Xenopus tropicalis: one gene and its partners. The protein of the gene in region 1 interacts with the protein of each later gene in a pairwise test. Links are inferred from orthologs where the notes say so. Each region holds a gene or a part of one and is shown on either strand. Other genes may lie near its edges.

Evidence for each region.
Region 2: the proteins of cdc73 (region 1) and tsga10 interact in binary tests that used the Homo sapiens proteins (3 or more experiments, as listed by UniProt). The two-hybrid records come from large-scale screens. The link is inferred for Xenopus tropicalis from reciprocal best matches to the Homo sapiens genes CDC73 and TSGA10.
Region 3: the proteins of cdc73 (region 1) and hsf2bp interact in binary tests that used the Homo sapiens proteins (3 or more experiments, as listed by UniProt). The link is inferred for Xenopus tropicalis from reciprocal best matches to the Homo sapiens genes CDC73 and HSF2BP.

What each region holds. Positions count from the first base shown.
Region 1 is NC_030680.2:113,579,925-113,584,274, forward strand, and holds the start of cdc73 (parafibromin), read right to left. Parts: upstream 2,919-4,350; 5' UTR 2,909-2,918; coding exon 2,778-2,908; intron 1-2,777.
Region 2 is NC_030678.2:112,861,904-112,865,559, reverse strand, and holds part of tsga10 (testis-specific gene 10 protein), read right to left. Parts: intron 3,528-3,656; coding exon 3,342-3,527; intron 2,582-3,341; coding exon 2,372-2,581; intron 329-2,371; coding exon 126-328; intron 1-125. UniProt on the Homo sapiens protein: Plays a role in spermatogenesis. When overexpressed, prevents nuclear localization of HIF1A.
Region 3 is NC_030678.2:1,553,698-1,557,353, reverse strand, and holds part of hsf2bp (heat shock factor 2-binding protein), read left to right. Parts: intron 1-2,912; 5' UTR 2,913-2,942; coding exon 2,943-3,096; intron 3,097-3,656. UniProt on the Homo sapiens protein: Meiotic recombination factor component of recombination bridges involved in meiotic double-strand break repair.

The DNA of each region.
Region 1 (4,350 bases):
TTCTCCGCCTAAAAACGCTGCACAACCCACACAGCCCCTGACTATGGCGTTTTTCAGCCTAGTACTGGTGACGTAGCAAATCCCGTTTCCCATGGTGCTAATAGTGCGAAATAGTAAAAACGCTGCATATTTCCTCAAGGTCTGGCAGCTGCTTTTGTGTACACAAAGGAATAGGTTGCTGTGCAAATAACGGCGTATTTCGGCAAACGCATGAAAATTCCGTGGTGACACGTTTTCTAGCGTATTTCTAGCATCGAGACTGTTTAAGTTATTTCTATGGATGATGATATTGTGCGTTTTTCAACCGCCGAGAGAATTAGAAAATACGCAGCGTAAAACCGCCACGTGTGGCATCAGCCTTAACCTCTCTTTCTGTTTCTAATTGTATAGGTGGGTTACCTCTCAGAGTCTGTTATATACCAATTGGTAGTTTTAAAGCAGTATTTTAACTTTCAGTGCATGTGGAATTATACTAATAAAAGATTCCCATGTTTCAAAAATGTTTTTGACTGCTTTGTGTTTATTCAAGTACGCCTCTATCCAATCCATGTGGGAAGGGGGGGTCCCTGACCCATACTTTCCATCCATGCTCTTTTTAGGAAAAAATAAAATAAAACCAGCCAGGGGGAAAAAGTAATGCAGCAACACAGCCAGGTTACCAGCATTTCCCAGCTGTCCCTCTTCAGACATAGCCTTTGAAATGTTCAGGTATGGACCCATTATCTGGAAACCAGTTATACGGAAAGGCCATCTCCCATCAACTCCATTTTAAGGAAAGAACTTACATTTTAAAAATTTTATATTTCCTTTTGCTCTGTTTCTTGTACTTGATCCCAACTAAGATAATTTATCCTTAATGGAGGCAAAACAATCCAATTGGCTTAATTTAATTTATAAATGATTTTTAAGTAAAATATGAGGATGCAAATTACGGAAAAACCCCAGGTCCTGAGCATTCTGGATAACGGGTCCCATACCTGTACAACAGAGTAAAAGTTTTTAATTGTGCTCCACTGCACTTGCATGGGCTTAAAGGAGAACTAAAGTTTGAGAAGTAGAGCAGAAATGCAGCACATTATGTTTTGTGCTTCTGTACCAACACAAGGCAACAACAGCCATTCAGCTTGGAGGATCTGTCCCCCGAAATATACCTACAGTAGCTCCCCATCTTCCTTCTGCTGACGCACTGCACATGCTCTGTGCTGAACTAACTTACAAAACAGTGCATGTACACAGTATAAATGTCACAATAATACAGATTATTAGTACAGGGCAGCTCTGATACCAGTGCAATGTGCATCAGTATGTAATAATCAACCCTGCAGCATCAGCTTCTATGACAGGCAAAACACATTTTCTGCTCAAAAATTTGTAACAACCACTAAGCTTAGCTTATCAACAGAACAGCTGCTCTGAGAACACAGAGTATGTGCAGTGTTACTGACACTTCTAACAATCTAAAATTGGGAGCTCCTGTGCACAATTTTGAAGTCCTCAATAATAACTACTACTACAGAAACGCTAACCCTTTAGGGGTGTTCAATAAGTTCAATATATAAAGTATGACATTTTAAATTATATCTATTTGAAAAGTGCTATAAGGAATCGTACTGCCTGTAGCATGTATTGCCTTTATAGTCACCAATAAAAAGATGTTTAAAAAAAAAATAAAATAAAGCATTTCTATATATATTAATTTTTGAGTTCTTGTTTAAATCTGTGCTTGGGACACCTGGGTCAGGGTAGGTGGCTGCATTGTGTTGTGCTCTTTCTCCAAGGTAAAAAAAAAGTAGGGCTTTAATTCCCTGATGGGTGCCTCACATATTGGCATCCATGAGTAAATTCGCCTTTTCCAATTCCCAAATACCTAAAAATTATCCTAACTACACAAAAGGACTATGTTTTTGATAATGTGAACTTCCCCTTTAATCTGGGCTGGGGAGGACTAACTTGCATGAAAAAAGCACCTGTACAGCTTTTCAAAATCTCATTACTTTTACATACATAAAAATAATACTATTGTGTAACTGTATCCTTCTGATGTTACCTTTCTATGCAAACATGAAAGCATAAATACTATGTGTGCAGGCCAGAGATGCTGCCTGACTAAAGCTCCCACAATCCTAAGCATCTATTAAAGCTTTACACTTGCTGGGATTTGTAGTTCAGTAAGTTGTGGGGAGGCACATTTAGTCACAATGGATACATACAGACACAGATAGTAAGAGGAGGAAGGTATGGATGTACAGCATGTGTGAATAGTAATGTAACGATATAAATAAGAGGCAATGCCAGGAGTCTATTTGCCCAAGTGGGGAGAGTGTGCCATACACATATAGTCAGTAGTGATTTCAGGGACTTTGTGCAGCTCTCAGCAGCACTTGGGCAGAATAAGGTTGTCCTGGGATTCTGGGAGTTGTAGTACAGTGATCGCTGCCGAGTTGGGCGCTACAGAAACCTATGCCGAACTCCTATGGGTGGGATTCTACTTTTGCTCATAAACGGCAGCTGCCACAGTCCCTCAAAACTTCGACAGAATTTGGGGATGCTGGGAGCTGTAGTTGCACAGGCACCACGAGTTACAGGTTGGAGTTACCTGGATAAATCTGTCTGTGCTTGGCCCGGGGCCAGTGCAGTGTGTGTGTGTGTGTGTGTGTGTGTGTGTGTGTGTGTGTGTGTGTGTATGTGTGTGTGTGTGTTGCACATGCCTAGTGAGCACCCAAACAGGGGAAGGACAGAATGACAGCGATTGCTCCCCGCTTCTGCGCCATACTCACCCCCAAATGACATAGTTGGTCTTAACATTCTTGGGCCAGGAGAACTCCCCGAAGATAACCTCATCTCCTTTCACATTGATCTCCTTCTTTTGGATGTTGTACTGACGCAGAACGCTCAGCACGTCCGCCATCTTCTTCTTCTCCTCCTCCGCCTCCTCACTACTCCCGAGGATGCGTACAACCTACTGGTGGTGTTGCTTAAGCGAAAGCCTGTTCCGACAACAGCAAGGACCCAGGAGGGCCAAGCTGCCCTATGTAATGCCTGCTCAGATCTCACACAGGACCAAAGAGCCAAGCGAGCCGGAACCATCTACAACAAGGACGCAAACGCGAGAGGTGTCCCAGGAAATGCCTGCTCAGAATGCAGGCCATACGCATGCGCAAAAGCAATCCATCTCTTGCATGTTGGTATGCCCGTCTGTAGGTATTGGTAACTAGGTAGTGTAAACAACTCTGCCAGTTTGTGAAAACCAAACGGTGTATTTGTTTTGGGCCTCCAGTATTATTGGGTGCAATGGGTAAAATCTGGGGGTAAAAGCAAAATAGAAGTATTATTTGATCAACAAGGGCACATTAAAAAAAGAAAATCATTCTTTTTAAAATGAAATTCTTATTTAACAATTGCACCTTATTTCCATGTATATACTTTTTATGCCTAGGAGTATGGGATGTGCAAAAGATATAGCAATTAGGGTAGGGATGTGCAAAATGACTAAAAATTATATTTATAGAAATGTGCATAGCAAGAGAATGGCAGCTGGTATGGGGTGATGTACTGTTGTTTTATATTCCCACCACAACAGAACAAATTAAGATCAATCAATTATTTAACCTATTTGATCATCTTACTGCAAGTTTTTAAGGACAATTAAAGGTAGAACTTCATGTTTGTAGATATACAGGCCGGTATTTGTGGCAAGGCCATGAAGATTAGGCCTAGGGCAGCACACATTCAGGGCCGGCATGCCGCCCAAGCCACACATGAAGTTTACTTACATGCAGGGCACTGGGGATTATGCACGGGAGGTTTCCATGCACCCTGTCCCCTGTGCGCCAGATGTAGGACGCGACCCTGTGGGAGGGGTGGGGGGAAGCTGAGGATGCTAGCCTCTGAGTGCCTAAAGAGAAATCCAGTCCTGTAGATATAATTACAGTTTCTTGTACAATTGTTTCATGCCATACAATACATGGCTTCAGAGAACACCCCTACATACTTTCTGGATCCTCTACTGCAGTGTTCCCCAACCAGTGGCTCCTGAGCAACATGTTGCTCCCAAACCCCTTGGATGTTGCTCCCAGTGTCCTCAAAGCAGGTGCTTATTTTTTAATTCCTGACTTGGAGGCTGTCAGTCTACATAGGGGCTACCAAATAACCAGTCACAGCCCTTATTTGCTATCCCCAAGTACATTTTTCATGCTTGTGTTGCTCCCCAACTCTTTTTATATTTGAATGTGACTCATAGGTAAAAGAGGTTGTGTACCTGCTCTACTGAGTGAGTATGCGTAAACAAGGAAGTAAAGGCCATGTTATAGGCGCTGCGCCCAAATGTATTAAATCCTTTTTCTTATCCAT
Region 2 (3,656 bases), on another chromosome or scaffold:
TCTATTCTAAAACAAAATGCAAGTTATGTTTTATAAATAAGTATTGTTTTATAGGATAATGGCTTATAACTCAGAAGGTAATACTGTGGCAAGTACTGTACAAATGGTTATAAACACTAACTTACAGTTTGGTTTCTGCCAAGGCCAGTTTGTCTCCAAGAAGCTGAAGCTCTGAGTCCAGATCTTGGGCATGTACTTGGGACTGGAATTCCTTTTCTTGGTTAGACACCAGCAATGCCTCCAAATTCTTTACTGAAATTCTTTCACTGGCAAGTTGCTTTCTGAGAAGTTCAATATCTGAGCGTGATGATTCTAATTCATCCTGAAACTAAAATTCACAGACCAATGTTTAATATAAGGAACTAGATGTGTTAGATTTAATACAGTGTGAAACCAATAAATATTTTTTGCCACAGATTCAGTTCTAAAAAAAGATATTTAAGAAATCTATTTTACCATTCATGTCTAACAAAAGTTTGCTTGTGTATAAAATATTACAAACAAAATACTTATAAGACAAGTGCTTTTCCACCATGTGACTTGGTTAAACAACAGTGTGAATCACCTGCCATAGTGCCGTTTAGAATATACAAATCATGGGGAGAGGGGAGTTAACTCTATGTGATCTTGCCTGACAAGACAAGCTCAAGAATGACAAGCATATATTATCTCTAGGGAATAATAATGTAAGTATTAATAATACTGAGACCAGTCTTTTGCTATTTATGTTATGTGACACAATTGTTTTGACAGTAGATTATCCATTTCTGTCTGGGCAGACTCCTCACCAACTCAGAATGTGAATTTAATGTTAGATGTTTTTTAGAGCAGAGATTTTTTTTTGAATATGTGTCTAGGGCCCTGTGTGGTTTCCTTTATGATTGCTCGAGCCCGAAGACTCATGCAATCATAGATCAGGCCCTTTGACTTGCTTATATAGCTGTGGAGAATGTTGTAGTTATGGTTATTTTTCAATGTTGTGTGTACTGTAATGGCCTTTTAATAGACATTTGCCCACATGGTATGCCTTTCTGTGTAAGATTTGTCTCTTGTGGTAAAGTCTGTGCTACTACTGGCAACAAATCTCCCAGCAAGCAATTCTGCTTATTGGTGGGGAAATGCCTTCCATTGGCATTTTCTTGTGAATAAGCCAAATCACTGCAAATAATTTAATTTAATGTTAGCAAAGGGGAGGGAATTTTCAGATCTGATGCCCACGTTGGCATATATTTACCCATGGGCAACAAAACTTGCCATGTGCCATTATCCTTATGGTGATTTATCTGGGTTATGTATTCCTTGGACAAAATGTTGCTAAACTGTGAAGTAGCTATAGGAGGCAAATAATGAAGCCCTGCTGTTTGAAATTTAAGGCTGAATGCTTACTTACTACCTTAGATATTAGTGGAGCTACTAAAGCATTGTAATAAGTACCTCAGAATCAAACTAACAAAAATCATATAAAGAAACAATAAAAAGATGTTTCATATATGCAAGATATCTGTGATTTCATATACAGTGACACCTCAATTTTACATACCCAGATTTTAAATTTACCCTCATGTTACACCGTTTTTTGCGTTTCCACAAAAAAACGTAAAAGTAAAATGGGTAAGCCTACATTTATCTAATGAGTGTGTACGTTTGTATGTATATATACTGTGACATGCTGACTGCCTGTACATGCAATTTTGGGGGAATTAGCAATGGTAGGCAGGCAGGCATGCAGAGGATCTGGAGCAGGTTTATTTAGGGCAAGTTCTTCCCAACAGAAACATAAGACAGTTCATCAACACACAGTTCAGGGTTGTGATATGTCCCTTCTTCAGGGTTCTCACCTTCCAGGGTTAGTTCCACTCTCTGGAACACTCAGGCTTCACATTACCTTGCTGAGCCCTCTCAGCACTCATCCATCGGGTCATAACTCCCTCTGCTCCCTGCAGTGGCAGGTGGCACCCCCAGCTCCTCTGGGAGTCCCTGACACAGGCAGCCCTCCTGCCCTGTGCCCTGCTCTGAGAGTGACCTTCACTCAGTCAAGGTTCAATTCCAATTCCCCACCCTCTCTGTAAATCATACAGCCCTTTTATTGGCTGCTCACCTGCAGCCTAATCAGGCAGCTCCCTACAGCTGGCCAAATCAAAAGCTTAAAGGGAGATTTACTCCAACACAGCATTACCTGCTGTAAAACCAGGTAATTTACCTGGTGCCATTTGTATTCCACCTTAAACACTGGTGGAAATACAACAAATAATGACCTTTCCCATTGCATCTCTCACAATATATATATAACTATATGGTCTGCAAGCAAAGTTTTCAGAAACCATTATATTTGCATTCTTACAGAGAAAGAGACTCACTTTTACATACATACCCTCTCAATATCTTGGTTTCTAGCACAAAGATGGCGGTTAATAACTTCTTTGCTTGTGTCCAGCTTAACACAAAGCTCCCTTGTAGATGCCAAGTCTTCAAGAATTGTAACTTTCTCAGCCTTAGCCTGGCGAAGCTCTTCTTCCACCCGTGTAACAGATTTGGCCAAGTTAGACATCTGGGACTTATGGGACTGTTCAGAGGTTATATACTGCAAACACACAATGCAGTATACATTTGCTCAGTATAATGCAAGAATTCCTAATAATTCAGTGAATGTATATTAAGCATCAAATGTGGTAATGAGGCAACAAAAATATTTTCATTTATGTGAATATTGAAAATAGTGTCTAGTTTTTATCTCTGTCTCCCTATGATACACAAAATGGCAAAGAGCTATGGTAATTCTTTTTTTCTTGCATAAGCACATTCCACTTCTCATCCTACAAATATTTTGTTCCTCTCCTTTATACTTAAGGGTTGAGATTGTGTAACTTTTATATTTGTCCTTCAGCAGAACCAAGGAATGTTCTCTGCCCTCAAATATCAATCTAATTTTCTCAGTATATCATTTGGTTGTTATTATTATAAATCAATAGAATGTAACTACACTTTATTCAGAATATCTATGTCCAAAGGGGAATATATACACAATATCAAAGTATGCATTTACCCTTCTCAACCCCTCTAGAAAATGGCATGAAACACCAAGGTTTTTTAACATTTCCTGCTTTTTTGCTTCAGAGATGCTTCTTGAGGTAAACCTTTGTTTTACCTTGGAAACTATATACCTTTTGAAAGACAAAATATGTTTTCTAAGATTTGAGTGTTGTATTAAAGGACATGTCAACCCCAAAAATAATTTTTTGCCTAATAAAAGAAAATATTGCAATTGAAAGCAGCGTTTATTTGTCACTTTCTGTCAACTGATCTGTATAACTTAGCCACAGTAATATATTTAGTTTGCTTACTTGCTCAATCTCTTTTTCAAGCGATTCTACTCTTTCTTTCAATAATCTGCATTCGGATTCTTTACCCATGAGGTCCAGTTTGGCAGAGCTACTTTCACTTTCCATTTGGTGGAACTTATTCTCCCAACTTTCTGACTGGGCAGATGCTCTACGATAGTTTTCTAAAAGATCTCGATACTCCTTTTCCTATACAACATAGGGTAGAAATGTAGAATTTAAAGTGGAAATAAATATAAAATCAGTTGGCTGCAAGAGTACGTGAAAGAGAAACTAAAATACAGATTCTGTAAAATAGGCATAGGTAGCAATATTAAG
Region 3 (3,656 bases), on another chromosome or scaffold:
TGTATTTAGTGATTATACCGGCATGTCTAGGGTTAATATGTCCTTTATTCATGTAACTTAGTGATTATACTGGCATGCCTAGGGTTAATATGCCCTTTATTCATTGTATTTAGTGATTATACCGGCACGCCAAGGGTTAATATGCCCTTTATTCATTGTATTTAGTGATTATACCGGCATGTCTAGGGTTAATATGTCCTTTATTCATGTAACTTAGTGATTATACTGGCATGCCTAGGGTTAATATGCCCTTTATTCATTGTATTTAGTGATTATACCGGCATGTCTAGGGTTAATATGCCCTTTATTCATTGTATTTAGTGATTATACCTGCATGTCTAGGGTTAATATGCCCTTTATTCATTGTACTTAGTGATTATACCGGCACGCCTAGGGTTAATATGCCCTTTATTCATTGTATTTAGTGATTATACCGGCATGACTAGGGTTAATATGCCCTTTATTCATTGTATTTAGTGATTATACCGGCACGCCTAGGGTTAATATGCCCTTTATTCATTGTATTTAGGGATTATACCGGCATGTCTAGGGTTAATATGCCCTTTATTCCTTGTGTTTAGTGATTATACCGGCACGCCTAGGGTTACTATGCCCTTTTTTCATTGTATTTAGTGGTTATACCGGCACGCCTAGGTTTAATATGCCCTTTATTCATTGTATTTAGTGATTATACCGGCACGCCTAGGGTTAATATGCCCTTTATTCATTGTACTAAGTGATTATACTGGCATGCCTAGGGTTAATATGCCCTTTATTCATTGTATTTAGTGATTATACCGGCACGCCTAGGGTTAATATGCCCTTTATTCATTGTACTTAGTGATTATACTGGCATGCCTAGGGTTAATATGCCCTTTATTCATTGTATTTAGTGATTATACCGGCATGTCTAGGGTTAATATGCCCTTTATTCATTGTATTTAGTGGTTATACCGGCACGCCTAGGGTTAATATGCCCTTTATTCATTGTATTTAGTGGTTATACCGGCATGTCTAGGGTTAATATGCCCTTTATTCATTGTATTTAGTGATTATACCGGCACGCCTAGGGTTAATATGCCCTTTATTCATTGTATTTAGTGATTATACCGGCACGCCTAGGGTTAATATGCCCTTTATTCATTGTACTTAGTGATTATACCGGCACGCCTAGGGTTAATATGCCCTTTATTCATTGTATTTAGTGATTATACCGGCACGCCAAGGGTTAATATGCCCTTTATTCATTGTACTTAGTGGTTATACCGGCATGCCTAGGGTTACTATGCCCTTTATTCATTGTACTTAGTGGGTATACCGGCATGCCTAGGGTTAATATGCCCTTTATTCATTGTATTTAGTGATTATACCGGCACGCCTAGGGTTAATATGCCCTTTATTCATTGTATTTAGTGATTATACCGGCATGCCTAGGGTTAATATGCCCTTTATTCATTGTACTTAGTGGGTATACCGGCATGCCTAGGGTTAATATGCCCTTTATTCATTGTATTTAGTGATTATACCGGTACGCCTAGGGTTAATATGCCCTTTATTCGTTGTATTTAGTGATTATACCGGCACGCCTAGGGTTAATATGCCCTTTATTCATTGTATTTAGTGATTATACCGGCATGCCTAGGGTTAATATGCCCTTTATTCATTGTATTTAGTGGTTATACCGGCATGCCTAGGGTTAATATGCCCTTTATTCATCGTATTTAGTGATTATACCGGCACGCCTAGGGTTAATATGCCCTTTATTCATCGTATTTAGTGGTTATACCGGTACGCCTAGGGTTAATACGCCCTTTATTCCTTTTATTTAGTGATTGTACCGGCACATCTGGGGTTAATATGCCCTTTATTCATCGTATTTAGTGATTATACCGGCACGCCTAGGGTTAATATGCCCTTTATTCCTTTTATTTAGTGATTGTACCGGCACACCTAGGGTTAATATGCCCTTTATTCCTTTTATTTAGTGATTGTACCGGCACACCTAGGGTTAATATGCCCTTTATTCCTTTTATTTAGTGATTGTACCCGCACGCCTAGGGTTAAGCTGGCCATACACGGGCCGACTATAGCTGCTGATATGGGTCCCTTGGACCGATTCGGCAGCTAATCGGCCCGTGTATGGGGGGAGCAGAGCGGCCTGGCCGACCGATATCTGGCCTGAAATTGGCCAGATCTCGATCGGCCAGGTTAGAAAATCTGGTCGGATCGGGGACCGCATCGGCTCGTTGATGCGGTCCCCGATCCGACTGCCCCATTGCCGCCCACATAATCCGATCGTCTGGCCCCAGGGCCAAACGATCGGATTATTATTTTTTTTACCTAAATGGTCCCCGATATCGCCCACCCGTAGGTGGGGATATCGGGGGAAGATCCGCTCGCTTGGCGACATCGCCAAGCGAGCGGATCTGCTCGTGTATGGCCACCTTTAATACGCCCTTTATTCCTTTTATTTAGTGATTATACCGGCACGCCTAGGGTTAATATGCCCTTTATTCCTTTTATTTAGTGATTGTACCGGCACATCTGGGGTGTGGTATGTAGGGGTGTGGCCACAAGGGCCGTATTAACCATACAGGTGCCTGCGCCTAGGGAAGCACCTTTAGGGGGTGGCCCTTTGGAGCCTACGTGAGAAAAAAAACAGTTAAAAGCAATACCCCCCCAGCCTCCCCCTGAACACTTACCTGGGGCAACACCAGCTGCTCATACAACCCTGAGGCTACAGGAAGAGGAGGGATTTGGGCAGATTGGGGGCGGGGCTCTTCAGGTTGGTTGGGGGCCCCTAGATGCACCACCCCATGTGAGCTATTGACCCTACGTGGGTGCTAGTGGGACAGAGAGGGTCAGGGCACATATGTTGCTCATCTGATTGGAGGTTGTATGATCCTTCCCAGGTGCTGCTTTGTGATTGGCTGCCTGACGTGATGGCCGGCTCCTCTGGGGCAGAGTTTATTCGCATCAGGAGGCGGGACTTGGAGCGCCTGACGACGGAGGTGATGCAGATGAAGGACTTTCTGCCCAAGATCTTAAACCCGGAATTGGTGGAAATAGTGCAGAGACTTGAGCAGGCAGAGACTGGTGAGACCCCTATCCCATTCCCATCAGCCCCTGCCCCAGTGAGCTTACAATCTAAGGTCCCTATCCCATTCCCATCAGCCCCTGCCCCAGTGAGCTTACAATCTAAGGTCCCTATCCCATTCCCATCAGCCCCTGCCCCAGTGAGCTTACAATCTAAGGTCCCTATCCCATTCCCATCAGCCCCTGCCCCAGTGAGCTTACAATCTAAGGTCCCTATCCCATTCCCATCAGCCCCTGCCCCAGTGAGCTTACAATCTAAGGTCCCTAACCCATTCCCATCAGCCCCTGCCCCAGTGAGCTTACAATCTAAGGTCCCTATCCCATTCCCATCAGCCCCTGCCCCAGTGAGCTTACAATCTAAGGTCCCTATCCCATTCCCATCAGCCCCTGCCCCAGTGAGCTTACAATCTAAGGTCCCTATCCCATTCCCATCAGCCCCTGCCCCAGTGAGCTTACACTCTAAGGTCCCTATCCCATTCCCATCAGTCCCTGCCCCAGTGAGCTTACAATCTAAGGCCCCTATCCCATTCCCATCAGTCCCTGCCCCAGTGAGCTTACAA